Linked DNA regions of Xenopus tropicalis. The protein of the gene in region 4 interacts with the protein of the main gene of each other region in a pairwise test. Links are inferred from orthologs where the notes say so. Each region holds a gene or a part of one and is shown on either strand. Other genes may lie near its edges.

What was found.
Region 1: the proteins of nup62 (region 4) and iscu interact in binary tests that used the Homo sapiens proteins (3 or more experiments, as listed by UniProt). The two-hybrid records come from large-scale screens. The link is inferred for Xenopus tropicalis from reciprocal best matches to the Homo sapiens genes NUP62 and ISCU.
Region 2: the proteins of nup62 (region 4) and kansl1 interact in binary tests that used the Homo sapiens proteins (3 or more experiments, as listed by UniProt). The two-hybrid records come from large-scale screens. The link is inferred for Xenopus tropicalis from reciprocal best matches to the Homo sapiens genes NUP62 and KANSL1.
Region 3: the proteins of nup62 (region 4) and agr3 interact in binary tests that used the Homo sapiens proteins (3 or more experiments, as listed by UniProt). The two-hybrid records come from large-scale screens. The link is inferred for Xenopus tropicalis from reciprocal best matches to the Homo sapiens genes NUP62 and AGR3.
Region 5: the proteins of nup62 (region 4) and oip5 interact in binary tests that used the Homo sapiens proteins (3 or more experiments, as listed by UniProt). The two-hybrid records come from large-scale screens. The link is inferred for Xenopus tropicalis from reciprocal best matches to the Homo sapiens genes NUP62 and OIP5.
Region 6: the proteins of nup62 (region 4) and bfsp1 interact in binary tests that used the Homo sapiens proteins (3 or more experiments, as listed by UniProt). The two-hybrid records come from large-scale screens. The link is inferred for Xenopus tropicalis from reciprocal best matches to the Homo sapiens genes NUP62 and BFSP1.

The regions. Positions count from the first base shown.
Region 1 is NC_030677.2:146,313,223-146,318,291, reverse strand, and holds the start of iscu (iron-sulfur cluster assembly enzyme ISCU, mitochondrial), read right to left. Parts: upstream 3,497-5,069; 5' UTR 3,468-3,496; coding exon 3,378-3,467; intron 1-3,377.
Region 2 is NC_030686.2:17,302,605-17,307,706, forward strand, and holds the start of kansl1 (KAT8 regulatory NSL complex subunit 1), read right to left. Parts: upstream 3,159-5,102; 5' UTR 3,127-3,158; intron 2,682-3,126; 5' UTR 2,544-2,681; intron 1-2,543. UniProt on the Homo sapiens protein: Non-catalytic component of the NSL histone acetyltransferase complex, a multiprotein complex that mediates histone H4 acetylation at 'Lys-5'- and 'Lys-8' (H4K5ac and H4K8ac) at transcription start sites and promotes transcription initiation.
Region 3 is NC_030682.2:37,463,160-37,467,682, forward strand, and holds part of agr3 (anterior gradient protein 3), read right to left. Parts: intron 2,141-4,523; coding exon 2,064-2,140; intron 702-2,063; coding exon 638-701; intron 1-637. UniProt on the Homo sapiens protein: Required for calcium-mediated regulation of ciliary beat frequency and mucociliary clearance in the airway. Might be involved in the regulation of intracellular calcium in tracheal epithelial cells.
Region 4 is NC_030684.2:38,697,789-38,702,311, reverse strand, and holds part of nup62 (nucleoporin-62 C-terminal-like protein), read right to left. Parts: intron 4,488-4,523; coding exon 4,341-4,487; intron 3,234-4,340; coding exon 3,081-3,233; intron 2,596-3,080; coding exon 2,512-2,595; intron 1,842-2,511; coding exon 1,757-1,841; intron 1,645-1,756; coding exon 1,500-1,644; intron 1,384-1,499; coding exon 1,334-1,383; intron 228-1,333; coding exon 93-227; intron 1-92. UniProt on the Homo sapiens protein: Essential component of the nuclear pore complex. The N-terminal is probably involved in nucleocytoplasmic transport.
Region 5 is NC_030684.2:115,742,690-115,747,885, forward strand, and holds the start of oip5 (protein Mis18-beta), read right to left. Parts: upstream 3,184-5,196; 5' UTR 3,087-3,183; coding exon 2,852-3,086; intron 1-2,851. Other genes in the region: nusap1 (nucleolar and spindle-associated protein 1), read left to right, coding at 3,604-3,696. UniProt on the Homo sapiens protein: Required for recruitment of CENPA to centromeres and normal chromosome segregation during mitosis.
Region 6 is NC_030681.2:30,135,738-30,141,027, forward strand, and holds the start of bfsp1 (filensin), read right to left. Parts: upstream 3,127-5,290; 5' UTR 3,051-3,126; coding exon 2,677-3,050; intron 1-2,676. UniProt on the Homo sapiens protein: Required for the correct formation of lens intermediate filaments as part of a complex composed of BFSP1, BFSP2 and CRYAA. Involved in altering the calcium regulation of MIP water permeability.

The DNA.
Region 1 (5,069 bases), on a different chromosome or scaffold from region 4:
TATGGCAAAGATTGTTTATGTATTGGTTAATGTGAACATATTTAAGTGTTTTAGAAAAGGTGAACAACCTTTTTAAGTCTACTAAAAAACTTTAAACAATAAACCCACTAGCAATGTTGTGCGACCAATATGGATTTATGCAGCTTAGTTACCGTAAAGTACATGGCATTGTTTTATTACTACTGAGAGAAAGAAAATCCTTTTTACAATTTGCTTAAAATGGAGTGTGCAGACTTTCTGGGTATTGGGTTTCCAGATACGAAATCCCATGCCAGTATACTAGTATCACTAGTCTAATTTTGTTTAAATTTTGTTTAATCAGAGTGAGAGGGAACCTAGGTTGTCATACAGCAAATGTACCTTTGGGCACAACAGAAGGTTTATATCATGCACATTGAGTACAAACATATGTACAGGGGTTTAGTCACCATTTAAATGCTGAGACAAAACAACCAAGCATCTTTAACAAGCAGTTATTTTTGCATGCAGAATGGTAATTTTCTTAACTGTCTGTTTAGAACACACATTTGAAGCATCGGCTTACACTTTGCTACAGATAGATGTATTGATATAAAACCCATGATGTCATAGCTAATGCATCAACATTTTGTAGTCATTTCCAGTTTTATCTTCTCTTAATAGACTTTCATTAGTCCTTATAGAGTCTATTAAGAAGACAATATTTCCTTTGTCCTTAGAGGTGATGTTAATTTAAACAGTTAAAAAATATGCTCTTGAGTGTAATGCAAATAATTCTGAGGCCTGTAATTACACTGGGACAGAAACACAGCAATCTGTATAAATATGGCCAAGGTTACTTGGCCATCTTCTGTGCCCTCTATGATTATGTGACAAGTGACAAATTAAAAAGAACTTGTGGTCTGAACAAGTCACAAGATGTTTACTTCTGCTGCTAATCTTGTGGCAACAAAAAGTCACACATGGTTGCAAATCTATTACAGATGCCAGGGAACAGTGCCAGAGAACAATGAAACCTACACAAACGTAAGCTTGGCCACAAAATCTGAAAAAGTCTAATTAAAGGAGAAGGAAAGGCTAAATCACTGAGGAGAGTCAAATGTTAGGCACAAGGCACCAGTGATTGTAATCACTTACGTGAAACCCCTGGCTGGTGCTCCTGTTACACAGGCAGGTGAGCGATCCTCTTCCTTCCTAACATTTTGGCACCTACCAGTGATTATAACTTTTGTTCTCCTTTAAATTATTACTAACAAAAATGAATTAGTTTAAAAAAAAAAAAAAAATCTGTACAATGTTTTTTTTTTTTTATTGCTTGCTGTGAAAAACTATGGAGTACAAATGGTACTATTCAGCATACAGAGATACTGCTGTTAATAGTGAAATGTTCTGTCACTATATTGACCCACATTTTTATGCCAGCCTTGTTTACAACGTGAATACAAACATTACATTTCTGTAAAATAAGCACCAAACCACTTTTATTGAAATGCTAGATTTAACCCTGTTTTAGGGAGCACTGCATATAATTAGTTAGATCTAGGCCTATATGGGTTAGGGCAGTGACTCCCAACCAGTGGCTCGAGAACAACATGTTGCTCACCGATCCCTTGGATGTTGCTCCCAGTGGCCTCAAAGCAGGGGTTTATTTTTTTAATTTCTGGCTTACAGACAAGTTTTGTTTTTTTTTTTGCATAAAAACTATGTGCACTGCCAAACAGAGCCTCCTGTAGTCTGCCAGTTCACATAGGGGCTACCAAATAACTAAACACAGTCCTTATTTGGTAGCTTATGTACCTTAACTTTGGTACAAAAGTTTTTGTGTAAAATTGCCATTTGCTCAGTTAGTATATAAGCTGCAAATTTAATGGAAGGCAATGAATGCTGAGCCCCTGTAAACACTTGCATCAGATTTTATCTTGTAAACAACAAACATCTGTAATATCTATAGCACAGGCATCACAGTGCTTTAGTTCTTTCAAGGAGAGTTACAAAGGTCAAAACACCTATCCTGACCCATACTTCATTCCCATTCAAAAGAATGGCAAAATCCCTATCTATACTATGTGCTGTCGTATTAACCATCAGAGCATTTTAAAAGTCATATATCTCTAAATTGTTTTAAATACTTTTAACTTTTACTAAATACCGGTGCCAGTGAATATGGGTGTTTTGGTCTTTACCAAATCACAGGATTGCCCTCATCCAGGAAAGATGTAGTTAAATATAATGTCAGGTCTGCCAATCAACTAGCAGCGAAGGAATGAAACTGACCACCCCCAAGATGAAGATTAGCTATCATGCCACAATCCAAATTGTATGTGTTGTTGACACAGGAAAGCAGCCAAAGGAAATAAAGTGGCACAAATTCTTAATGAAAACAAAAAGTAATTTAGAGATGTATAATTTGTTTTTGACAAATGTGTTTTTGCTTGCCAAAAGTGCCTTGTATGAGAAACTCACAACAGGTATTGACAGAAAGATAGCCATGCATACTTTTAATGATATTTTTTGCAAAACTGTCTATAGGGGCAGAAAAATAAGTCTGAGAATTTGGCATCACAACCACAATATTTCCTTTTCCTGAATTCTCCCGTAAATGTCCCCTCATAACCTTGAAACACTTCAGCTACCGTAGTGGTGCAGTGAATTATATTTATATATGTACATTTGATACTGACACTAAAAAACTACTCTTCAAAATACAAATGTCCACGAAAAGTTGCCTATAGGTCATGTTGCTCGTTTTTTACCGAAAGAGCTGCATTTGTGAGTAATTGTTACTTGAAGTCCTAAACCAGTTTTACCAACCTGACTGTCCCTTCTTAGCCAGTCAGTTATAGCTTGTAATTCTAACGGACAGCATGATGAATACTTTTCTGGCAAATTAATCAATAGCATGCAAAGCCTATGGTATGACAGAAGTAAAAAAAAAAAGAATACATTTTTGATGTCAGTATCTCTTATGGCAAACATGTCTTACTTAGCATAAAGTTTTACCATATTCCCTATACCCTCAGAGTGCTAGAGTCAGTCATTGTCAATTCCTATCAGTTGCTAACTCGGCTTCTCTCTTGAGACACCTTTTCTCTCAAGCCATTCGGGGAAGTGAAGCTGACAACCCCACTGGCTGCTGTTACTGTATTTCACCACAACCGAAGCTGACAGCCTTCTATTAAGAATTAAAACGACTCATGTTGTAGTCCTCTGTAAAGATGGTTACGGTGTTAAAAGATAAACGTGTCGGCTTGCATTGGCAATAAGTACTTTATAGTATGGGCTGCGAGGCGAGCGCTGTCACTGTGACACCTGTGTCACCTTATGTAACACTCGTTTCCTGCTCCCACACTACCCTGTTCCGTATTGGCCCCGTACGCCCCACGCACAGCGCTGCATACCTTCTTATGATAAGAAGCACAAGGCACCCGAAACTCGTGCACCCCACATTTTCTCCATAAGGAGCAAAACACCCGGCCCACGCCAGCCATAGCGTCCTCCACTCGCGCAGCTAGCAAATAGGGACGCGGCGTGCCAACGCCACACAACGTGCGGGTCACATGGCCTGAGGGGGCGTAACCAACAATAAAGTTTGTTGCAGCCAGGTTGCGTAATAAGGTTCAGCGTTCTATTATGTGTAACGTTGAAGTGTGGAGCTGTCATGTACTTGGGCTTTAGCTCATTCTGCAGGGATAAGTTTCTTTTGTTGCCCTATAACTTTATTAGGTTTACCAAGTTCAACCGCAAAGTCAAGGGACTCTTTATGCCTATTATCGCTAACGTGGAAGTGGAATTGATGTAGTTTACATCCAGTAGTGTAATAAAGTAGCGCGATATCGGAGTTGGTTTTGGTCAGTTTTTTATTCCAGGCTAGAAGAACCTTTGTACGTATTTGTCATAGACATGGGTGTCCGCAAAAACTGCGGGGAGGAAGAGTCATTAAGTAAAAAGCAAACTGTGTTTTACGTACGTATTAGGTTTATTAGCAAAGCCTGTAACGCTGCTCGCAACTAATAAGTGTAGAACCAGGGGGCTGTTTAAAGTGATGGCTCACCTTTTATTTCACTTTTAGTTTGTTATATAAAGGCCAATTCTATTAAACTTTTCAATTATATATTCTTAAGTCTTTATTATTTGTTTCCATAGTTTTTGAATTACAGTATTTGCCATCTTGTTCTCTTTGCAGCTTTTAAAAGGGGATCACTGACACCTGAGACAAAAAAACTATTGCTCTGTGAAGCTACAGTTTTATTGTTTAATTCTTTTCTCAAGGAGCAGGTAGCTGAGAAAAACCAAGGACAAGCTGGGCAATATGTTACATTTCAACACCGATCTGGGTCAGGTGTGTAGAATTCTAGGGGGGGGGGGGGCAAGTGGCCTTCCTTGCCTCTTTTTGCAGAGGCCTATGGCCATGGACAGTTTGTGCTGGGCCAAGTCGGCTGGGCATCCTAGGCAACCCAGCCAGCCACCTCACCCCTTTGCATGCATGCATGCATGTTGACTACTGGGGAGGTAAATGACGAGTGGGAAGTGGGAGGACAAGAGCCCAGACTAGTGACAGGTTACATTGTACCCTGGGCACATGCCTCTTCTGCCAGACCCATTTCTAGCCCTACAGAAAGTCACTATATATTGGGCTGGTGCAGGGTTGCTTGGGCCTCTATGTGCTTTAAATCAGGGGTTCCCAACCACCGGGCCGGGGACAGGTGCTGGGCTATGGGCTGTGCTGAATCGGGTCACCTCTGGTCCCACACAGCCATGACAACAGCTATGCAAAGCCCAGGAAGCTTTCTACTGATTGCTACAAGGACCAAAGTACTTAAAGGAGAAGTAAAGGCTACCAAAGAGTTAATCTCAAGCTGCAGGCTTACCTTCAGTTGTCTCAATAGTGCCCTCAAGTCTCCCCATATTGCAATCGTTCAGATGATCAGAAGCCAAACGTGAAAAAAAAACGCCGAGCTGGGTAAAGAGGATTCCCATAATGCATCGCTCCTGCACAGACCCTATAACCCAGGACACTAGGCGGCGCATGCGCATGTCTCTCTTCAGTGACACAAGCAGGCATGCTCCCCTACCATCTGAGCTGGCCCCTA
Region 2 (5,102 bases), on a different chromosome or scaffold from region 4:
AAGTTTTTACCTACTTAGAATTATCACTTTAGATCCTAAGAACCAGAATATCTTGTGAGAGTGAAGTTAAACTATAATGAAATTAAGGAAAAAAGACAACCCTCTCAAAGGTCTAATCAATTTATTTTTTTAGAGGAAAAAAAAAAAAGACACCTTTTGAGATCACTTCAATTTTCTTCTCCATACAGAATACTAGAACAGTTTGTTATATTAATGCACTAGTATTTATTATTGCAGCCCCTAGTCTTATTCAAGTGACAAGTGCTATAGTAAGTGCTATGAATAAGACCAGGGGGCTGCAATAATAAACACTAGTTCATTAATATAACAAATTGTACTTCTGTTTATAATAAATTGTTTGTAATAAATTGAAGTTATCTCAAGGAGTCTCAAGTAAATTAAATAGACCTTGAGAGGGTTGTCTTTCTTACATCTAAATTTTATTATTGTTTGCTTCCTACTGTCACACCTCTCCTTCTAATCCTGACCACTGTCCTACATTAGGGGTAGAGTGCTTCTGCCACTGTGACACGACTACAACTCTCAACATGCATTGCAAGCTCAGCTAATTGTTACATTTTGAGATCTGCAATTACAGAATAGCTGGATCACTGACACTTACAAATTCTTGCCCATAATAAAATTCCTCTCCTAATTCATAAATCATCCTCCTCATCCTCCATAATTTTTAGATTCCCTAGGTAATGACCCACTTCATATTCCCTGATAACCAATCCTCTTGTCCTCACATGTGTTGTGGGATTATTATGCATGAAACTGAGACTGTATTATATTACATTTTTTCTGGAGGCATTATATATATGGATTTGGCATGTGTTCTGGGGGCTAAATATATGGATCTGGCATGTGTTTTGGGGGCATTATATATGGAACAGGCATAAGTTCTGAGGGCATTATAAATGGAATTGGCAATGCATTTATCCTACTATGTTTCTGTGATATTTTATGTGAAACAGACATTACAGGTAATCCTGCAAGGTAATCTAAGATGTATTTTAAATTAAATTTCCACAGCATTTTTGTTGCTATGTGTTCTGGGGTATTACACATGGAATTGGCTGTGGGATATCATGAAAGAAGCTGGCAACTGAATTAAAAAAATAAAAAGGGAACAAAGAAAAGCATAATTGCAGAGGAAATAGGATAATTAAAGGTAGAATGGCCAGGTGCTGCCCCATATTTTTTTAATAGTATATGGACTACGTTTTTAAAATTACATGCTCCTCACAAATTAAGCAGGCTGCAGAGGCAGACCAAGCTCTAATGTTAAAGCAGCTGGGAGAAGCATCTAGTAAAAGGCCCCAGGGCATTACCATTTCCAGTGATAGGCTGTGTTGTCAATGATCCCTATCGACTATGGTCAGCAATGAGGACTCCCACACTCACAAATGGTAACAGTGAGGAACAGGGTCTAAGGGATGTTTCTTGTAATATTCAACCATCTGGCTTTACCCATAGACCATCCCTACCATGGATTTTCCAAGACATGAACCACTAACCCTGACTGCTATCTCACCATCCCCTAACTAATCCACTTGTCTGATGTGACCCATGTCCTATGAGCAGGCCCGGACTCGCAGTCTACAGATTCTGGCAAATGCCAGAGGGGCTGGTATAAGATGCCATAGACCACGTGTCAAACACAAGGCATGCGGCCTGAACTGCTGTTATTTTCAAAACATAATTAATGCACGAAGATGGCGTGTGATATGGTGTTTCAGGGTGAGGAAGGATCTATCCTTTAGTAAGATTAAGTATCTTAATAAAAAATTCAGCCCGCAGCTTAGCCTGTGTTTTAGATTTTGGCCCCCTTATGTGATTGAGTTTGACACCCCTGCCATAGACAGTCACTATTTATTGGGATTTTTTGGCCTCTCTGTACATGATATGCCATGGCCTATTTTATATCCCATTCCAGACCTCCTTATGAGAAGTCGAGATAAATAAGTTCATCCAGACCCCAAGAAAGAAAAGAGCAATGCTGGTGAGCTGTAAGGCAAGGAGCAGCATTAGTAAGGCAAAGCTGTGGGTCGTGTTTACTTCAAGAAAGTTACTGTTCCCTTCAGCCATGGGCACCCAGTCTGGATGTGCAGCCTTAGCAATGTGCACTGGATTGCTACCCATTTCTTTTCCCACTACAGATATTTAGGCTAATGGCACAGGACAAGGATTCTGTGTGCCACTGCCTTCCAGTGGAAAAGTGACAGAGGGTAACAAAATGCCTGCCATCTCGCCTACCTCCGTCAGAGGTCCATGGCCTCACATTTGCTTGCACATTTTAATACCGGACATCCGCTATCATCATTTAGAGGCACACTGTATGCTGCTTAGAAGTCATTGCAGTTTGCATTAAAATTATCACTAATTATATAAGATTTATATGTGTTTCATTTCATTTTTATGGTTACCACTCTTTTACTGTAACCCCAGAATAAATGGAGATAAAGGAATTTCTGTAGGACCTGTCCTGTCCTTTCAGTGCTATTAAAGACTCACATTATAAAAGCATGGCGCTTACTCACCATATTATCAGACTGTACCGATTTTCATTTGATCCATGGATCCTTGTTGCCTCATCCCGGCTGTTCCTCGGAGGCATCCTTGTAGCATTGTCTGCCAAAGGCCAGTTTGGGGGGTTCCTCTGCATCATCCATTGATATCTAGGATCACAAATAGTCATATTTTTTCACTCACGCTATCTGATTTAGTTTTTTTTTTTTTTTATTTTGTGGAAATTTTTAATAGGGTGGACTCTGGTAGACAGTGGTATTTGTATGTTCTCCCCTGTATGTATTTAGTATGAGTGAACATATATAGTATAAGTAGTGTCTGCCCTGCATGTGTGGCACAGTGTGGTAGTGTGCACTGGGGCTGTGCTCCCCCCACAGCTGATCCTATAAAGTTCCAGTATCTAGTGTATCTGGCCTGCTGACTGCTAGAGAATACTGGAGAATTCCTCACAGCCCCCTTCATCCCCAACTCTTGCAATGGGCTGTTCCATCTCTGCCCAGCCTCCTCTGGATGCCCAGGGGTGCTCTACCCCCACTCCCACTGCCACCTGGTGCATGAACCCCACACCCCAAGCACCCCTCAGTTTGCACCTACCTGCACAGCTCAACCAGTACTGCTGGCTCCGGTGCCACCCTTTACCCTCCCTTGCAAGCTCCGGATTGGTGAAGGTCCGGAGGAGCTTCGCGCGATTGGTTAATGAGTTGTCCGTCAAGCTGTAAGGGGCGAGGCCCTGTGCGATTACTGTGTCCCTACTGTGTGTCTGGTTGCAGGATATGAATAAGGGGGAGGGGGGCTTTAATGGGACATGGGGAGACCGCTAAAATAGGGACACTTTGCACCATGAGCGCTGAATTAATTGTTTATAAATCTGCAGAGAAGTGACGAGGGAGGGATACTCTATATCCAAAGCTGGAAAGTGGGTTATGGTTTTGGGGGGGCCATGAACCATATCTTTATGTAAAAATTTCCATCCACAAAGAGACTTCAATGCGCAAGAATGTGGGGTCTGTCACACAGCGTCCCAGTTATTCCTAAACTACAGCTCCCAGCATCCTCTGAGAGGAATTGAAGAGCACAAGTGTAATGCCACCATAAGCTCAATGTATGGCAGTTACCAGGAGTAACTTGGTTACCCCCACACCCCATTACTAGTAAATCTCACACTGGCCTGAAGGCTTATATAGCTCAACAAAAGCTTTTGGGACACATATTGGCTATCCCTAGCCTAAAATCTGAAGACAATTTGTTGCCCATGAAATAACATGTGGAAATCACTTCCTGATATCTATGCCACAGATAAAAGCAGAATTTCTTGTACCAAAGCACAGCAGTGACACAAGTGCATATTTATTAAATTTTACCTTTTAGTAGCATATTTGAAATATTTTCCCCTTATAAATATGTCCTTATATAATATACCCCACTATTTGGCTGCCTTAGGTGCCAGAGCCTGTCTGTCCTGTGCTGACTTCACCTCACTTCCATGGTTCAGTCTGTCTCAGTGTTAGGCTTGCAGAAAGGGCATAAGTATAACTAAATGTCACTAGGTTACCCCCCCCCCCCCCATAACTTGAGGTACTTTTCTCCAATATATATTTAAACTGAACATCAGCTAAGCATTTCTGAGCTGGCCTTAAGGCAGCTTACTGGCCCATGTATGTGGCATCCCTGACCAGTGTTGGACTGGCCCACCAGGATACCAGGAAAACTCCCGGTGGGCCCAGGCGTCAGTGGGCCCTCCTGCTCCTGACCATTTGGCCTACTTCATGGTCATTCCCAATTTCTGAATAGGAACAAAGAGGAAAAATAGATGGAAGGATAGATGCTAGCATGTAAATAAAAGAAACTTGGAGAATAAAGTGGTTGAGTGAGGAAAGGAGGAAAAATAGTTTGGAGAGTGAGCCCAAGGTTTTCCGGTGGGCCCCTCTAGGGCAAAAATCAGATCAGCACTATTTGGCCCAACATGGTCAAATTGGGTCTAGATCCCATCATTTGCTGACTTCACCAAACTAGCAGATTTAGCAGTGGTTGCAGTGGCGTAACTATAGAGGAAGCAGAACCCGCAGTTGCGGGGGAGCCCAGGGAACAGGGTCCGGGCCCGGATTGTGGGGTCTGAAAATGTGTGTGCTCGCTCAGGGGTGTATTTAGGTCCAGTGTTGTCCTAGGCACTGGACCTAAATAGTACCCTTCATTGTGCATGTGACGTCAACTGCACCAATGTGGCGGCAGTGTGTGCGTGACATCACTTTTGCAGAACCCAGATGCCCTCAGATGCCTTATTATAAATACACCACTGCACTCGGTATAGATGTGCAGCAAGCAGACGCACACATGCAAATGAACATGTGTGTGTTAAAGGGGGCGGCGTGTAGGCTTTGGTACACACAAGCCCCTCCAAGATACGCCCGGCAATGTGTTGTAATGCCGCTGAGTGTGTGCCCAGATTTAGATACTAGGATCAATATTATCAGGTGCCAATTAACCCACCTGTATGTATATTGTCTGGAGTGTGGAAATCCATGCAGACACAGGCAGGGTATACAAGCTCCTTGCAGTTAGTTCCCTGGTTG
Region 3 (4,523 bases), on a different chromosome or scaffold from region 4:
AATATGATATAGTGATCGACAATCCTCACTGCTGTTTTTATCGGGGTGCTAATCAATATATCACAATTATGTTCAAAAGAAAGCACTCATGGATCTATTTCATGTAAAAATACAGTTTAATCCACATAGTGCAACACATCATAGCGTTTTATTTCTCAAGGAACTGTCATCAGGAGGACAGTCCCTTAAGTATTTAAATGCGTTGATGTGTAGTGGATTTAAATGTATTCTTCCAATTGATCTGTGAGTGCTTTCTATTTGGACATTTCTGTGCATAATAATGTGCCCCCCTGTTGTAAAATATAGGGCTTTTAGAGGAGCTCCATTACCACCTGACCAAAGACACAAAGATGAAGACATTTGTTGATGTAACTCCGAGGTGACTTCCAATATCCTCACATTTTACTAAAGGGGGTACATTATTTATTATAACACACAAGTGTCAGTGAGTCATATGACACAAATTACATCACTGAGCATCATTTATAACTGGAGACATCACTAAGCATTGCTTATAAGGATATAATTTAAAGGATATTTGTGGCTCTTGTGCATTTAGCATACAAAAATGTTTGCAGCGAAAAAGCAACCACAGTAGTTCAGAGAAATATACAGCATCCATGCCTTTATTACTTACCAATAAACATTATCCGAGGCACATACTGTCCATCAGGGGAAAGGTTTTTGTCAGTTGTTTCATGCTAATATAAAAAATGTGAAAATGTAAGCGCATGAACTTTATATGTATACATTAATGCAATCCAAAAGATCCAAAAGACATTGCCCCCCCCCCCCGTGTCCTTGCAAACCTTATACAACTGCACACATTGGGCCAGATTAAACTCCAAGACAACATGCTAGTTTATCCTGCATCATGTAATAACCTTATGTGCGAGATTCTATCTAAGGAGAAAATACTTTTCTCCTAATTCAGTTCCAGTTTTTTGCATTGACATCAATAGAGTTTCCATGGGATAAGTAGTGAGATAAGTTTTTGTCACTGAATTACATCTGGCTCTATGGGAAAATCTGCAATTGAATTAGGAGATTAGCTTTCTCATCAAATTGAATCTGACCTATTGACTAGGTCAGATTCAGATAAATCTTTTAATGCAACATTTATATTGTTCTTGAGAGGAGTTGCCGAGGGAGTGGGATTGGCCTGGGGGCTTGCCTTGGGTACCCATTTGTGTTGGCCTGGCTCTGACATAGAATTTATTCCCTAATTCAGGTATGATACTGCATTGAAACATTTTTCATGGAAATCAAGCATAATTTTGACCAACTGCTGAGTAGAGTAAGCCGTACATTGGTAAATTACAAGTTGTGTTTGCATTTTGCTGGCTAATGTTCCAGTGCTGAAAACTGCAAATTATTAGGTGTAAGTTATATGTATAGAAGCAGCATGTAAAGGGAAGGTGGGTAATATCGGGCTACTTTGATTGTTTGGCCCTAGGGCCAATGAATTGCAATGAAGAGCATAGGAGCTGTCAGACCAAGGACTGCATCAATGAGCTGATGCGGTCATCTGACGGGAAAATCAAACCTGCCCGATTGACACCTGCCTGATATCGATCATGGAAACCCATTGGGGGGGGCCTATACACGGGCAGATAAGCTGCCAAATCAGTATAATGGAGTTGGATTTCCAACTTAAATCTACCCATGTATGGCCACCTTAACATTTTCTCAATTCTAGGGATTCCATGGATCTGTAAGCCTAGTACTTTGTACCTTATTCAACAAGGCAGAAGCAAGAAGCTTTCTCTTGGGTCCTAGATTGTAGGGAGTGTGTTGCTGTATATGTTCTTCCTTATGTAAGTGTATGATTATCAGTAGCTAAGGCTTTGCTTGGAGGTGAGGCCCAGAAATGTACTTTGCTGGGATGCCAGGAGTGCAAAGTTACACCCTCGTGTCATGTTCTTCATTTCTATGGGAATGTAAATAGTCTAGCATTGCTAATTGTCCAAACACATTTACATATAAACATATGCCTCACCTAACAGACAGTGTCTGACATTCATTATACATTGATGTACATACTGTTATGCAAAATCACTTACCATAAGGTTGAGCATTATGAATTGCTCTTGGGCTAATGTCTGAGCTTCATCACTTTCTGCAAATACTTTCTTCAATGCTGATGACAGAAGAATGGATTTATATAGAAATATGTCTGTAAACAAATTACTACTTTATACAAAAGAAGAAAACAGTTTTGGGGGACAGATTTTATAGAACTGAAGGTAAACCTGCAATGCATGCATGCTAGGGTAGGGACTAATGTGAATGTCTATGTAAATCACTGTTGGCACTCTACCAATATGGGATAATAATTACAAATCTATTGCGCATACGTGGATGTGCACATTCAATGCAAAGGAGAGGGCAGAGAACGACAAATGGCGCAGGCTAGGGTCGCCCACTGTTTAAATCCAGCCAGCCTATTCATTCACCTATCCTATGTACTTACAGTTTAGACCCTATATTCAGGATGAGTGGGTCAGACACTGGCACTGCTATGATGTTATTTAAGCAATGCCTGAGCTTGGCTTCAGATGTGGTACTTTTTGTTCTCTGTCCTGCTGCACAGTTCACCAACCCTCTGGTATTTCCGAGGTGATGAGAAACAGTAAAGAATTATTGGGCTTCTAAGTGAGCCATTTATGTGACTTGGGTAATGTATATGTCATGGAAATAGATGGGCTCTAACTAAAAATAAGATAAATACACTTGTATTTGGAATTAGACCCCACGGTCCCCACATAGGGTCTGCTTCCTCTATGATTACACCAATAGCTGCTTCTATATATGCTTGCAACACGGGTCTTCTTTGAAGTCCACTAACTTCTACTTATGCACCTGCTCAGCCCTTTTTTACATTTAGGAAGCCTTACGCTCTCTTCCAGTGTTTAATACAAGACTGTAGGGAAAACTTGGCAAGTACTCTCCCTGCCCTCTTGCTATATAACAACACAAGTCCTGTGAAGCTGCATTTGCTCAGCTGCTTGCCTGTATGGTAATAGCCCATATATAAGCACAGTCCAGAATTTAAAACGTAAAAAGATAATTCTATATTTCATAAATAAGCTGTAAAATAAAGCAGTAGCCTCAACTTCCAAGTTATAAACTTTTTTTAGGAGAATCACTGATTTCATTTGATGAAAATGTTCTCAGGGATAACGGTTTTACTGGGAACCACGGTGGCCTGGGTTTTTAACATTCTCCTGTTTGTTTTTATAATCTGTTAAATGTATCTGTACTCTAGCAATTATAAAGTCATAGTGATTGAATCCAAATATTTGTTATACAGGTATGGCACCTGTTATCCAGAATACGTGGGGTTTTCTGGATAAGGGATCTTTCTATAATTTGGATTTCTGTACCTTGCTTCTACTAAAAAATAATGTAAACATTAAATAGACCCAATAGAATTGTTTTTTTCCTCCAATAAGGATTCATTATATCTTAGTTGGAATCAAGTACAAGGTACTGTTTTAATTTTTCCAGAGAAAAAGCAAAATCTTTTCTCATAATTCAGTTCCAGTTTTTCCCATAGATTTCAAGAGTTTTGACGTGATAAACTGTGAGATAAGTTTTTCTGAATTGAATTGCATCTCAAATTGAATCTTGTCCATTTGTTTCTACTGAGTTGAATCTGGACCAATATCTACTACCCTCTTATCAGTACTAGGGGAAAACTAATCCAATTCAAAATTATACATGAGACCAACACTGTGCGCAGCTTGGGTTTACTAATTGATGGGGAATTAAACTTCAGGAGCCAAATTTCAGCTGTGGTGAAACATTCCTTCTTTCACCTAAGGAATATTGCAAAAATGAAACACCTCATTCCTTCTGAGGTTCTTCCAACCCTAGTTCACGCCTTCATCTCATCACGACTGGACTATTGCAATGCCCTCTATGCAGGCCTTCCAAATAAAGACCTACACCGCCTGCAGCTGGTACAGAATGCTGCCGCAAGATTGCTAACAAGCCAACCCCGCCATTGCCACATAACACCAATCCTTCGCTCACTGCACTGGCTACCCATAAAATGGAGAATCCTTTTCAAAATTGGGATGCTAACATTCAAATCCCTACATGGCCTGGGCCCCGGATACCTGGAGGACTTGCTGCAACTATGTCACACCTCCCACAATCTTAGATCAAATGGATCCAATAATCTGACCATCCCTAGAGTTCAACTGAAAACCTTTGGATCCAGAGCTTTCTGTCATGCTGCCCCTACCCTGTGGAACGCCTTGCCAAACGGGATCAAGACAGCTCCAACCTTGGACACGTTTAAATCAAAACTGAAAAGCCACCTGTTTAGCCTGGCATTTATGTCCACATAACTTATCTGAGACAAGCTTATGCGCTTTGGGTCCCACGGGAGAAAAGCGCTTTACAAATGTTTGTTGTTGTTGTTGTTGTACCTAATGCAATTGAAGCTACACCCTATGGGCAGGGCTGACCATTCCGGATTACTCAGGTAATCCCAAGATTGTGGCAACAAATTA
Region 4 (4,523 bases):
TCTCATAACCAAAGCCTACTTGAGTATAATCACAAACCCAGATCTCCTTGTATCTTATACTTCTTAGTTATTACATTATAATACTGGCTCACGTTTTCTCTCTCTCTTCATCTGCATGCTGGAGGTAAATGGTTCCGCTCTGCTCTTTCACAGATTCCTCCAGAGGAGTCAGAAGGTCCTCCAGTTCTTTTTGCTGTGACAAGATGAAGTCCAGTTCCTGATCCAACCTGATAGAAGAGTAGAGAGGGTGAAACAGACCCAATAGCTTCCAAAGAGCAAGCTTAGCATGCAGGTGTACCTGTTTAATCACCATATATTTCTACACAGCCAGACAGAAAATGAAAATACACACAGCAAAAACAAGATTTTACTTTCTATTGAATTGTTTTTGTTTGTGGATTTTACATTACTTTAAACATTGCTTTTTCAATCTGTTCACATACTTGTTCTTGTGCCTGCTGTGAGGAAGATGATTGAACGTGATGGACATACATCTTTTTTTCAATCTAACTTACTATGTTACTATGAAATATACAGAAAATGACAACATATAAAAAGGACTTCCCCTTCCCTATGCAACCATGTCAACTGACTAAGGACAATACCAATACCCAATGATGGACATCTTGATCAGCAAAGGCATAAATCTTTTTAGATGAATCAGCCCCAGGAGCTTCAGCAAGAGGAGAGCTACTCTGCTGGTATTTAAAGGGTGTCTTGATAGGAAAAAATAAATAGGTGCATTGGAAAGGGGAAGTACTTTTAATATGTTTTAATTTCCTGTACCTTCTTCATGGCAGGGGAGATTAAACCTTTGGTACCCACTGCCACGTGGAAGGAACAGGAAACTACTTTTGCCCACTACAACTTTGGGATTTTTATCTTTACAAAACCCAAACTTTCAGCACTGCTTCTTAAGATGAGGCACCAGAAGTCCCCTATCTAGTTACACCAAGTTTGCATATGCGTTCAAAGATTGACAGGGCTCCAGCATTGATGCAAGTGTTGTTACTGATCCTCCCTCTCCTTTCCTAACATCCCACCCCCTGTCCCCTTTTCACTTTGAATTGCATGGATTGTGATTCCCAACTACTCATGTTTTATATTTCCTACTTTTTTTTTTTTGCTATGAAAAACTCAATCTATTTCTATAAATGAGAACATTAAAAATAGAACCAACTATTATTTAATAGGTTTATGCAATATTGTACATTTAAAACATTTGATTTTCAGCTCAGGTGTGCCTTTCTTACATATATTCAATCAATCAACCAAACATCATTCATCTTGGTCAAATTTTCTATGTTTTTGCCGTTTTACTTCCTACTCATACCTTTTCTGGTCCAGTTTAACTTTTTCCATTTCTCTGTGTAAAGTGGTGATCTGAAATCAGACAAAAAAATAAATAAAAATAAATTCTGCCTGTGAAAACATTATTGCACACACACAAAAACTGTTTACACTAAGCCACACAAGTGTTTTTTTCTCAGATTTCTCACCCGTTCTCCATTCTGCATAAGAGTTCTGTCCCATGCGTTGACCTGAGTTGCTTGTTGCAGAAAGTGTTTTTCTTGATCTTCCAATTCCAAACTCCACTTATTAATCAGATTTTCTAGCTGAGCATAAGTCATTGTTGCAGCAGTACTAAAAAGACAAACCATTATGTGGAAAAACACAAATCAAAATATCAGTCAACCAGAGAAATAAAATTAATGACTGCTATGCTGATAATGGTATCATTTGTGACACCTCTTACCCGACTCCTGCAGCTGCAGCAGAACTGACAACATTAGCCTGAACTGTGGTTCCAGAAAGTGGAGTTCTCATACCAAGAGAGGCTGCTGAAAATAAGGACAGAAGTCTCTAGATGAGAACCAGCAACTATTTTATGCATGAAGAAAGACTTCAACTATACTATAATCTATTTTCCTAAAGAAAAGCCATAGCATTGGACTAAAGATTTGGTTTATTCGGCTGATCAGTCTAATAATTTATTGCGAACAAGTGCCTACAAACATAGGCAGTATCACACATGCAAACTTTTATTTTGCACATAAAACAACCATAACTTCATGCAAAGGAGAGAGGTACCACAGTGCTCCATGGTCACTGAGCTCCTAATGAGTATTGTGCCAGTGCGCTTCCTCAGTATACTGCGTATACAATACACATGACCCACACTGCTTATCTTAATTATTGCTCAAAATGCTCAATATGGCAAAACAGTGTATTGTAGGGCAAGAAAGTGCAAAGCAAGGAAAAAGGATGTAATAGTGCACAATTTCCATTATTTACACACAATTACAATAAGGTGGAAAAGAGCATAGTAAGGCAGAAAATTGCAATATTGCAAAACCCTGCATTACAATCACCAAAAACATCTGTTCTCAAGGCTCTGTTGTTCACTCATATAAGAGTAAACTTAAAATTACATTATGATCCCGTGAAAAAAGTGTTTAACACAGAACTACAGAAATTATTGCTATGCTAAACTTCCCACTTTATACTTACTGCTGGTAGGCAATGTTCCTGTTGGTGCAGCACTGCTTGGCAAAATCTTCATTCCAAAACCCGTGCCTGCTGTAGTCGAACTCACTAATAAGAGATATGCATCTCACTTTACTGAATACAAAGCTATGCACTGAGGCCCTTGGCATAAGCAGGAATCAGATTAAAAGAAACACAAAGGATCACAAGTATGACAAAAAATAAACTATATAGCTAGCAGATTAGGGCATCTCTTAACAAAAATAAGTAAAATAGTTTATGGGAAAGCTCTTTTTCAAATAACTATCCACACAGAAGATAGTGTAAAACACAAAAAACAGACATGAGTAGGGAGAAACTGCCTACTTTTTAACCATAACTCATAATGAGAAAGTGCTTATGAAGTAGCCCTAATTTGTCTCTTTTTTAACACTTACCACACTTTAATAGACCACACAAAAATAACATAAAAAACAACTTCTGTTGTATTTTAACCAGCAGCTCACAAAAAAACTGGTGAATCACGTTGGTAACTCAGTACTGATTATTTATATTGAACAGTACTATGTTTAAAAATGAAAATGAGAACTTACATGACAGTCCACTTGCTGCTGCTGTTGTTGTTGTCGTCACAACAGCTGCAGCAGTTGAAGTAGCCAAAGAAGAGAAGAGAGAGGGCCCAGATGTCCCCAGAAGGGAAGAAAGGGAAGGTGTGGCTGTTGTGGCGGTTCCTGTGGATACCATTGCTGTATCAATTTAAACATAAGAGTTACAACTGTTATATAAAAGGCAAAACTTAGAAGAAAGTACATTTTACAGAAAAAAAATAAATGTAAAACTTCAAAAGAGAAGAAAAGGCATTTTATTGCCAATAGATTAGTCAGAATGCTATATTTATTCTGCAGAATGCTTTACCATACCTAAGTAAACAGCTATAAAAGCTCTCTCTGCTTGTTTAAGACAGCAGCAGCCATTTTAACTTGGTCTGACTTCACTTCTGTACCTGCACACTGCTCCTGGAACAGCTCTAAGCTCAGATTACACAGCAAAGAAAGGAGGGGGAGAAGGAGAAGGGAGGGAGGAACAAACTGATTTTTCTGAGAGCAGGAAGTCTGACACAGAAGACCATATATTATATATATATATAATATATATATATATATATAAAAAAAGAAATGTGGTGTTTCGTTTCACTGAAGACCCAAAGCACCAGTTCTGTAAGTGGTTATGGCTGTATTTACATAGCCCTTTCGGACAAAACTTACTTAACACTCACTTTAACAGTTAGTTTACCTAAAAAATAACTTTTAGTATGGTGTAGATAATGGAATTCTAAGACACTATGAAGTTAGTCTTCATTTTCAATTAAACACATTTTCAAGACAACAAGGAAAGACAGTTAGTGATACACAATTGTCATTCTGGTGTGCTTAACCCCACCCCACCTCTTTTAAAGATATCTTTACTGTATAAACAGTCTCATTCTATATTGCTGCAACATTGGAACATGGTTTACACAGTGACCTATTTTACTATCTTTGGGGAGTTGATCTCAGCAGAGATGAGGAATTTAGGGAGGACGTTTTAAGCACACTAGGATTTGAATTCTGTATAGCCTTACCTGATAGTTTGGGGCTTTACCTATAAGGGTAACTTAACTGCCATTTTGTTTACAAAACTCAAGAATATAAGGTTACTTGGGTTTTATTTTTTGTAAGTATTTTAATAGTTACAGAAAATAAATAAACACAAATATGCATATACCTGAAGATAAGACCTATGTGTAAAATAACCTTTTTGAATTAAGACAGAGCTAAAAGGTCAATGTGAAACTGCCAGTGGGCAGTAGTTACCTGCAGATGGGTCTGCTGGTTTGCCCAATGATGTAAGGCTAAGCCCAGGTGTTGGTGCTACCGACTGCGAGGCAGCTGGAGTAGAAGCAGTGGAAGGAACAGCAGACTGAGTCGATGACAATAAACCAAAGTTCAAACCAGGGGCTGCTATTGAGAAGAACACATAGGGAAAATGGTGATCCT
Region 5 (5,196 bases), about 77 Mb from region 4:
GCTCAAGGTTAAATGAGGGCTGTCAAGCCCACAAGCGCAACTTGCCTTTAAAGCTGGTAATACATACCCAAATCTAGATGGATTGTTTGCTTTAGTTCAAACAATACAGCCTGACTATCTGGGCACGTATAGCGAGTCGGAGGCTATTTCCCCAGATAATTCTTTCAGTCATCCCAAGTAGTTAAGGCTAAGGGCTCTGGTACACGGGGAGATTAGTCACCCGCGACAAATCTCCCCGATATGACATCCCATTGGCGAAAATGTAAATAGCGGCACCGCGTATGCCATCCGACCGGCGATTTACATTTTCGCCAGTGGGATGTAATATTGGGGAGTTTAGTCGCCCGCAACAAGGGAGATTTGTCTCGGGCGACTACACTCCGTGTGCCAGAGCCCTAAATGGCAAAGTTTACATAGTAGATAAGAGATGCTGTAGAACACCATTATATTCTACAGAGCTTATCAGCTATATAACCTGATCCTTTTCCAGCTCCCACTTCTACACAACAGCTTATTTATATAACTATATTAGTCTCTGAAGCAAAAAACTTTTCCAGTGCATAGCAACAGTATGTTGTAAAATACCTTTAAACACTATTGGTCAATGTTCCCCTGATGCATGCAGTTTACAGAAAAGGGAATTAAAGCAGTATAACCCGATTTTTCAGCATTAGCTGATTGAACAGGGATTGTGTGAAGGTTAGTTCTTGCATTTACCAGGCAAAAACTGAAAGTCGTCCCCATAATAACCTCTGCAGGATGAGCTGCTCCTTTTCTCAAAGGGTAAAGACACATGGAGCTACTAGTAGCAGCTACGTGTCAGGGCTACAAAAATAGACAATGCTGACCATTTATGGATAATTGTCTCTAAGTGTGTTTAGCAGAGGCAATTCTCATTATTGCCTCTGGCAGGGTATTTCTGGCATTTAATAGCCAAGTAGCTCCATGTGTCTTCGCCCTAAAGGTGGTCATACAGAAAAAGGTTAAAAAAAAAAAAAAAAAACTTGGCCATTCTAGACAGTCAGCAGTTTACTAGACTTTGCAGGAGGGCAGGGCTGGAATTAGAGGTGGGCAGAATAGGCACCTGCCTAGGGCACAACAGTGGGGGTGCTAGGCAGGTACCTATTCACCTACCTCTAGTCTGGGCTCTTTTGCATTTGCCGATACCCCGTCCACCAGTTGCAGAAAAATGATCCACACAGACCAACTGCAAACTGACAGCATTAAGGGATAGCCTGTCAAAGCCCAAATCAAAAGGTGGCTTCTTATCTGTGGCAATTAGGCACCCAAGTGGGTTAAAAAACACCTGACGCTGGAGATGCAACAAAGGAAAAGGCTCATTGCTACACATTTTGGACGTGTCCACTTATTCAACCTTTCTGGGAAAGCAATATACCATATCTTTAATATTGAAATATCAAATGCTCCTGAATATGTTTTGCTATTTCATATGGAACTGTCTACTTTTAAAAATTCGCTCGAACCGCACCTACTAAACTCGCCCAAATTATTAATACCGCAAATATGGAAACAAATTGCAACCCCGACGCTGCAAGACTGGTATAAGAAAATTGAAGAAATACATAAATTTGAAGAACTCTCTTTCCTCTCCACAACACTACAACACCTATAGCTTAGTATCACTGGCTATCTTTCAAAGAATCGGACTTCTACAAACAATCTATAACCTAGCTCGCTAGAGGGACATCCACCTTCCCCCTTTTTATTTAAGTTTTGATACAATGTATAACTTTGAATGAATACAACATGTAAGATGCAGTTACCCCTCCCACCCCTTTGTTACCCAAAATCAATAAAACCATATTAAGAAAATGAAAAAAAAATACAAAAAACACACTTGACAGCACTCTAAGGGGCACATTTACAAAAGCACGAACGCTCGAGCGTTCATGCGAACACTCCGAGCATATTTTCGCCGATTTTTTGGGGCGTCCGCACGACTTTTTCGGAAAGGTTTTACCGCTGTTTACAATTGTTCGGTACGAAAATTTCGTGACTTTCGGATCGCCAATACGATATTATCGTGACTAATATGATTTTTTGTAAGCATTTTCGTGATATTTGCGATCTTACGAAATTTTCGTTTCCAATACGATTTTTTTCCCCATTCGTGATTCGGATTCGTGGATTAGTAAATGTGTCCCTAAGACTTTACTACAACACAGCAGCATATCTTTGTTGAGTCTACTTCGGGGTTTGCAGGCCCAGACTGGCTATCTGTGGATTCTGGCAAATGCCAGAGGGGCTGCTGTAAGATGCCATAGTCACTCACTATTTATTGGGCTGGTGGGGGCTGTTTGGGCCTCTGTGTATCTGAAATGCCTGGGCCTATTTTGGATCCCTGATGGTTTTTCATTCCCAACCCTTTCCATTGCTGTTTCCCAAGCTCTGCTAAAAAAAAAAAAAAAAAGTAGGCAAAGGGTAGAGTGTTGGGGAAGAAGACTTGACAAGAGTGACCATGGCAAATGAGGGTGCAAGATTCCCTTTGCAGGGGTGGGGAGGCAGCAATGGCAGGGTACCCACTTCTACAGCACATGTTGCCTTGGCTTTTATAAAGCAGAATCTGCTTCAGGTTTTGTTGCCTTTTAAACACCTGTGAATGGCGCCCTCTCTAGGTCAGCCCTTAACACCACAGCTATATTATTGGCAAGTGGAGAAAAAGAAAAAAGAAAAAAAAAGGAAGGCAACTATATCAGTTTATAAACAATGTACAGCTCTGTTCTTCCTGCCTTCTCATGTAATAAAAGGCCCTGGGCAGACGTACTAACCCGCACAACCAATAAGATACTTGCATTTAAACTGACCAAGCCTAAGGCCGCTTAGGACTCACGCAGGCAGGCGATGGCAGCCAAGCTCCTCTCCTCCCCACACACACTGAGCGAGTCCCCCAGCACCGTGTAGCAGTTCTTACACAGGAATACCACACACGCCTCAGGCCCGCCCGAACTGCCATTTAACTTCCGACATGACACCTCTGGGTTTGTCTGCTCCAAGTCCACCGTGCTTTCCCCGCAAACAGACTGCATTTCCGCAGCACTACACAATAACCAAGCGCTCCCCGCCATGCTTTTGGAACTTTATAGTTTGTCAAAGTCGCACTCTGATTGGCCAACTACTAGCCTCCGATTGGGTCACTGAGAACGCCAATCAAGAAGCCCTCCCTTCAGGTCTGTGACTGAAAAATAATACTAGTCCCATCGTCGCAATCTGCAGTGGGATGCTGGGGAATATGTAGGTAATGTTTTAAAAGTATCGTGTCAAACGTGTAGCTGCTATGTTCGTATTGCAATAAAACATAGCTCTCAAAGTGAAACAGCTGGATTTGAAGCTTTTATTCCCAGCCAATCGAACACATGGTTACGCCAGCGCCATCCAATAGAAACTGGACGTACAAGTTGTGTGGGAGGGTATGTTTACTCAGCTGAGCGTTCATTGGCTAGAAATGACACGCCACTGGCCAATGATGGAGCCGAGAAGCTGAGTTTTGAAAGCAAGCCGTTAGTTCTTCCTACGCGCCTAAACGTCAGTTTTGTTGTATGCAGTTGGAGCCCGTGTATACACAGGAATCGCAACGTTGTGACTATGGAAGCGCCGACTTTATCCCAACTGGAGGGTCTGAGGTACTCGGAACTGCAAAAGCTGGCAAAGACAGCGGGACTCAAAGCTAACCTCAAGGTAAACATGGGCAATGTAGCAGAGAGATGCAATCTGGATTGGCCAGTTACTAACCAGTTTCCTGTTATTGTTCCCTCTCACAGGGCAATATGGGGCCTTACTCCTGACATGGGAGGGATCTTTAGCCACCAATCACACTTTTACATTACTTGACCTATGGGGGGGGCCTATGCTGTGTATGCTGGGGGGGCTACAGGTTTATTATTATTGTTACTTTTTATTACTTATCTTTCTGTGTGGGCCCTCTGCTATTCATATTCCCATCTCTTGTTTAAACCACTGCCTAGTTGCTAGGGTAAATAAGCCCTAGCAACCATATAGCTACTAAAATAAATGGAGGGCTGCTTGACAAAAAGCTAAATAACTGAAAAACCCTAAAGAAATAAAAAGCTAATTTAAAGGTGAAGTAAGGGTGAAGACGCACAGAGCTTCTAGTAGCAGCTTCTTTTTAACAGCTGTTTAATTCCAGAAAATATGCTGCCTTAGACAATACTGAGCATTGCCTCTGCACACACATAGAGACAATTATCAATAAATGATCAGCATTGTCAATTTTAGTAGCCATGAAAATGAGCTTCTATTAGGAGCTCCGTGTGTCTTCACCCTTAAGGTCACAACATTTAGGCTAATGTCACACGTAGTGTATGTAGCGTATTTTCCGCAAGTCGAAAACCGCTTGCCAAGGATATACTACATACACTTAAACATCCTTCTACCTGTGCCTGCATCCGAATGCATTGAATACACTCAGGTGCAGGCACATGTAGCTGATATCCGCCAGAAAACGTGAGACTTTGCATTTTTGGTGGATATTGACTACATGTGCCTGCACCGTATTCAGTGCGTATGTAGCGTATTCTCAGCAGACTGCTAAGCGCAGTTTTCTGTTAATAGTGCTGTTGATCAGTAGTGCAGGTATGGGATCCTTTATCCGGAAACCCATTATCCAGAAAGTTCCGGATTACGGAAAGGCCATCTCCCATAGACTCCTTTTTATAAGCAAATAATTTTGATTTTTAAAATTTATTTCCTTTTTCTCTGTAACAATAAAACAGTACCTTGTACTTGGTCCCAACTAAGATATAATTAATCCTTATTGGGGGCAAAACAATCCTATTGTATTTAATAATGTTTAAATTATTTTTCATTGGACTTAAGGTATGGAGATCCAACTTATGGAAAGATCCCTTATCCAGAAAACCCCAGGTCCTGAGCATTCTGGATAATGGGTCCCATACCTGTACTGAGGAAGTGTAAAAAGTAACAGTTGTAACTAGGGATGCACCGAATCCGCTTTTATGGGTTTCGACCGAACCCCTGAACCTGCCCTGACGGATTCTGCTGAATCCCAAACTGAATCCTAATTGGCGTATGCAAATTAGGATCGGGAAGGGTTAAAGATTGGCACGCAGCGAACAATTTCTCCCCCCCTGCCAGTTAACCCTTCCGAATGCTAATTCGGATTTGGTTTGCTCGGGACCGTGGATTCTTGAAAAAAAA
Region 6 (5,290 bases), on a different chromosome or scaffold from region 4:
TGAGCAAAAGAAAGAAGAGGAGCTGCTGTGGAACAATTCAATCTAAACTGAATTGGGCTCTTGCTAAAGCCCAAAATATAGTAACTCAAGTCTAATTATCTGTAAAATTGTTACATATAGGTCGGTAGGGGTGGGTTTGCTACATTAGTACCCACAGCAAAACCAATAGCAAAACACATAATAATCATTTATCATGCTGTGTAAAAAGTGGAGTAAAACATTACTGGTGATGTTGCTAATGGCAGCCAATCAGATGCTTTGCTTTGGTTTTCTAACTGTTGAAATCTAATTGCTGATTGGTTGCCCTGGGCAACATCACCGGTAATGCTTCACTCCACTTTTCACACAGCATGATAAATATACCCTGTATGTCTAAATGGACTTATAGTCTGTTTCCCTCACAGAATGCTGCTACAAATAACATGCTACCAAATATGAGACATATAAGAATCAGTTCTATGGCACCTTTGGCAATAACTTTTTCATGATATGAATATTTACTGAAACCATCCTTATTGGAAGAGGGACCCACGGATGCTCATGTATTTTTTTTAACTCAGCAGCACTAAGGGAGCCAAATGCATCTTAGAGCTGATAAATTAAAGTCCCACTGTGTATTCCCTCCTCTACCTCTTCATCATATACTGTATGCCAAGCAAAGCCAAGCAATGGCATCCGTTTTGTTTTTAACCCATGATAAGTGGAACAATTCTCAATTTACTTGTGTTGCCACACTGTTTCAAAAAACTCATATCTCCTTTAAATTATTCATCACCTTCATGCCTTATTCATTCTATCCCAGGACATTCAAATAACCACAATTAAAAGAGCACTCTCTGCTCATGTTTCACCTCCTTATCTGTGCCTGAAGTGCAACTCACCTCCTTATCTGTGCCTTATCAGCAACTGACCAATGACAATCCAGTAAATAAATGCCTGTGTTTTTTTTTCAAGTCTGGTATAGGACGGTCACAGTTTTTGTTTTTTTTTTCACGTCTGATACAGAGCAGTGCCCTGCTTTTTTCACATCAGGATGGCCACTAGCCCTGTAGGTTTCTAGGAGCTGTGATCAGATTTAGGGGAATAGCATAAGATGCAAAATACAAAGAATTTTAATGATTTTATATTGTAAATGTATTTCATTTGGTATAAATTTCACACACAAGGATTATGATTTTTGACTATACATCCCCTATACCTTCAGTAACCACAGCGCTAAGCTCTTTCCATACCCTGGGGTTATGGATTTTTGCTTACCGGGCTGAATTATCAAAGACTGAACCTGGAAATCAAGAGATTTCAAGACCTTCAATCTTTTTAATTTATCAAAACTTTTAATGACCTGACTCATATATCGAAGCTGATAATGGTGTCATTGCTGTTAGAATGAGTCCCACTGCGCCAACACAATAATTTCCTATGGGACAGTGCACAGTGCAGCAGATTCTGACTACCTGATGAGTATCACATTCAGAGAGAAAGAAAAGCCCAATTATTTTCTGGGTTGGAATGAATTGTTCCAGCACTGAAAATAAATTGTTAAATCCAAAACCCCAGCCCCTTGAGAGGCAGGTAGAATTTTATTTTTTTTCCCACAATTTGTGGGAATTTTTGGTGATAAAAAACACAATTTTTTCATGATATATTAAATGTCAAAACCACAAAAAACACTGATACAAAACTTTGCCATGTAACAGCTGTTGAGGTCATGTTGTTTTATGGTATTAGAGGTTTTCAGTTATTTTGGATGCTCCATTAGTTGAAAAATGCCAACATTTCAAGGTTTTTGCCCTTCTTTGTGATGCCCTCAATGTGTATTATGGGACATGTAGTCAACAAATGTTTTTGCTGAAATTCTTTATCCTTTCCTGTCTTCTACAGAATTTTATGTGATGGAGTAACAATTGCTTATCCCAATAAAAGGAAGATTTTAAACAGCAGCCTGCTTACATTGTTTTGAGAGGGGATTTGTGTAGTAGTCAGGGGAACAGACAGTCCAAAAATAGAAAGCTTTATTATATCATGTAGCTGCCATGATTTACAACCCTTGAAGAGAGCAAGAGAGTCAGATATATAAATAATATCTGAGAATATGTAAAATAAAAAAAGAACATAGTACAGGTATGGGATCCCTTATTCGGAAACCCGTTATCCAGAAAGCTCCGAATTAAGGAATGCCCGTCTCCCATAGACTCCATTTTAATCAAAAAATTCAGAATTTTAAAATGGATTTTCTTTTTTTTTTTCTTTTTTTTTCTCTGTTGTAATAAAACAGTACCTTGTAATTGATCCCAACTAAGATATAAATAATCCTTATTGGATGCAAAACAATCCCATGTGGTTTAATTAATGTTTTCTTGATTCTTTAGTAGACTTAAGGTATGGAAATCCAAATTACAGAAAGACCCCTTATCCGGAATACCCTTGGTCCTGAGCATTCTGGATAATGGGTCCGATACCTGTATTCATATTTGTTAAGAAAGTGTTAAAGTGTAGCATGTATATAGGCATAATATATACAACTATTCTGAAATATGCAGGGTAATACATCTATGAGAACTTACTGGCTTCTCTATCATCATTACCTAGTAATGAAATATACTGAGCTGAACACGTTTTCCTATAATAACCAAAGCAAAGCATTCATGGCAATGGGAAGGGCAACACATCGCTTACTTGTTTTTAAATTCTTCCACCATCCTCTGGGCATCTTTGTACTCCCTTTCGAGACGGGACCGATCAGAAGCTAGCTCCCTGATTCTCTGTTGGTTCAGTTCTATCTGTTCTTCGAATGCTTCTTCCAGGCCAGAGATTTCATCCATTCTCTGGAAGGTCTCCAGCTGCTTCCTAAAGATGCCATTTCTTTGCTCCAGTACCCTAGCTCTGTTAATGTAGTTAGCAAACCTTTCATTTAGTTCATGCAGGTTTTCTAGTCCTTGAACCTGTGTCAAGCCAAGGTTGCCAAAGTCTACTAATTTTTGCTCATCAAAAGCGTCGCTTCTTTCATATTTATCCTTGCGCACTTCGTGCCGGTAGCTAGATTTATACATATTTCTCCGCACTTTGCTCTGTGGACCTTTCCTTTTTCTGGTCAGACCAACTCGGTTGATTTTTTTTTACTGGGCAATCAGTGACATTTCCCTGGCCCCTTTCTCCTGGAATTCAGTGTGAAACAATTTGCTGACTAAAATAAAGAGCAAAGCAAATAGCAAACACAGGTTCTGTTCTCTATATTTCCACTGCTCATCAGCACTTGTTTTGTTCTGTCTGCAGCAACAGTTGGTAAATTGCCACATGAAGAATGTTCTCTGAACAACATAGAAAGGCCATAGAAATACATCAATATAAACAAGCCGGTTAAAATAATGTAGAAAGACTGAGGTCTCTTCTTTAAATGGGCAAGAGATAGAGAAAAGGTGGCCGGGATTTTTGCTTCTCAGAGCATATACCTTCTCTACCTACTGAAAACACAACCTTTAGGGCCAGTAGCAACAAAAAATGAAAATCTTTTATATACAGTCATCCACTGACCTGAATTTTATTTTTTTCATTTCAACTTTCTGTGCATTCAATAGTATGTTACATCATCACCCTGCATTATTATTACATCATATTTAAAGATCCATGGAGCTCTTTTGTAGTATTATCATTCCCTTCCTTTCTCAGGGTGAAATGCGATGTTTCCTGCATTTAACACAATTTCAATAAAATTAAATGGAGATGTACAACCAAATCAATGGATTTCAGCACTTCATTAGCACCTGCATAAAATCCCTACCTCCTGTGTAAAGAGTATAAATAAAGGCTAATCTTCATCACTGTATTTCCATAATTGAAACCTGGATAATTGTGTTCCAGAACTATCCTGGCTTTCTAGGTAACAGAATTGTTTCTAATAGCAGCAGAAGAGTAAATTGAAGCTATAAGCGAATGCAAGATTGGCGTGCCATTGATTCAGCACGCCATTAAACACAGAGCCATATACAGAATCTGGTTTATGTAATGTTATAAAACATGCCGTATATATATGTATAATTCATGTTGCAAAGTAAGAAGGCAAGTGAAGAACAATTTTTAGCCTTTTTAAATTCCAGACTATTTTATTATTTTGTGCTTGATCATGTCTGATTAACACACAGGCTGTGGGGTGTCTAAGGAATCCTAAGCTTTTTACATTTACCAGAATTTTTGAGTGAACCAGTTTATATTACAGGATTTATGACTCTAAATGGCATATTATTCAATGTGACCTTTGGACACCACATATTAAGTTCCTGGTTCCTCACATCCTCTTTTGCCATTGGCAAATTTATTTCTCAAAAAAAAATGCCACAAAAAAATGCCCAGTGACTGGAATGAGAAAAAATGGGCAGTGAAAAATGTCTGTAAAAATTTGTTGCGCGTAAAAAAGTCACCTATTGACTTCAATGTATTTTGCAAATTTTTCAGTGTTTCATGAATTTTTCAGCAGTTCCGCAAATTTTTGGAAGTAGCGAAATGGGACAGATTCGCTCATCACAAATAAGTAGTCAAATTCCCAAGTTTGATTCAGAAAAGAAAGAGCTCACCAGTGGGTGCCAAACCCCAAACCTTTAGTTAATAAAGGAAGATCACGGTAAAAACAATGCTGGGCTTGCACTTCCAAAAACTCCAACTTACCGGCCAAGTATAAAAACGTTTTAAAAAATAACATGTTTATAGAAGGCCTCATACATTTCCTGCCTACTTTACACTTAATCATAGGCTCCAATAAGCTCCTATAACACTTTTAGTGCCTACACAGCATTAAGCTGTGTAGGCACAATTCTTAATACATTTCTTTTTTACTTTTTTACACTTGCCCTGTACTTTGGAGTTCTTGCAAATGCAACTCCAGCATTGCTTTCACAAAAATACCCAACATTCCCATAGTGGGCAAGAAACACCCGCTTTATTTAATGTTTGTATATTGAAGCAAATATTGAAATGTATAATATGAATGGATCCTTTTCTAGAGAAGTGTCCCCTTATGAATCTATGTTTGTAAATGTCACAACATAACATGTTTTAAACGCAGGCCCAGCGCCCGGAATTTGTCTACCTCTCCAAAAACGCCATTGGAAACAACAATAACTTGAGTGCCTTGACTCAAAGGGTAATCGCGCCGCCGCGTGTGCCATCTCGCCGGCGACTTACATGTTCGCCGGTGGGATGGCAGGGGAAGGCAACTCGGGGAGATTAGTCGCCCGCGAACAGGGAGTTTTGTCGCGGGCGACTAATCTCCCCGTGTGCCAGAGCCCTTAACCTAATC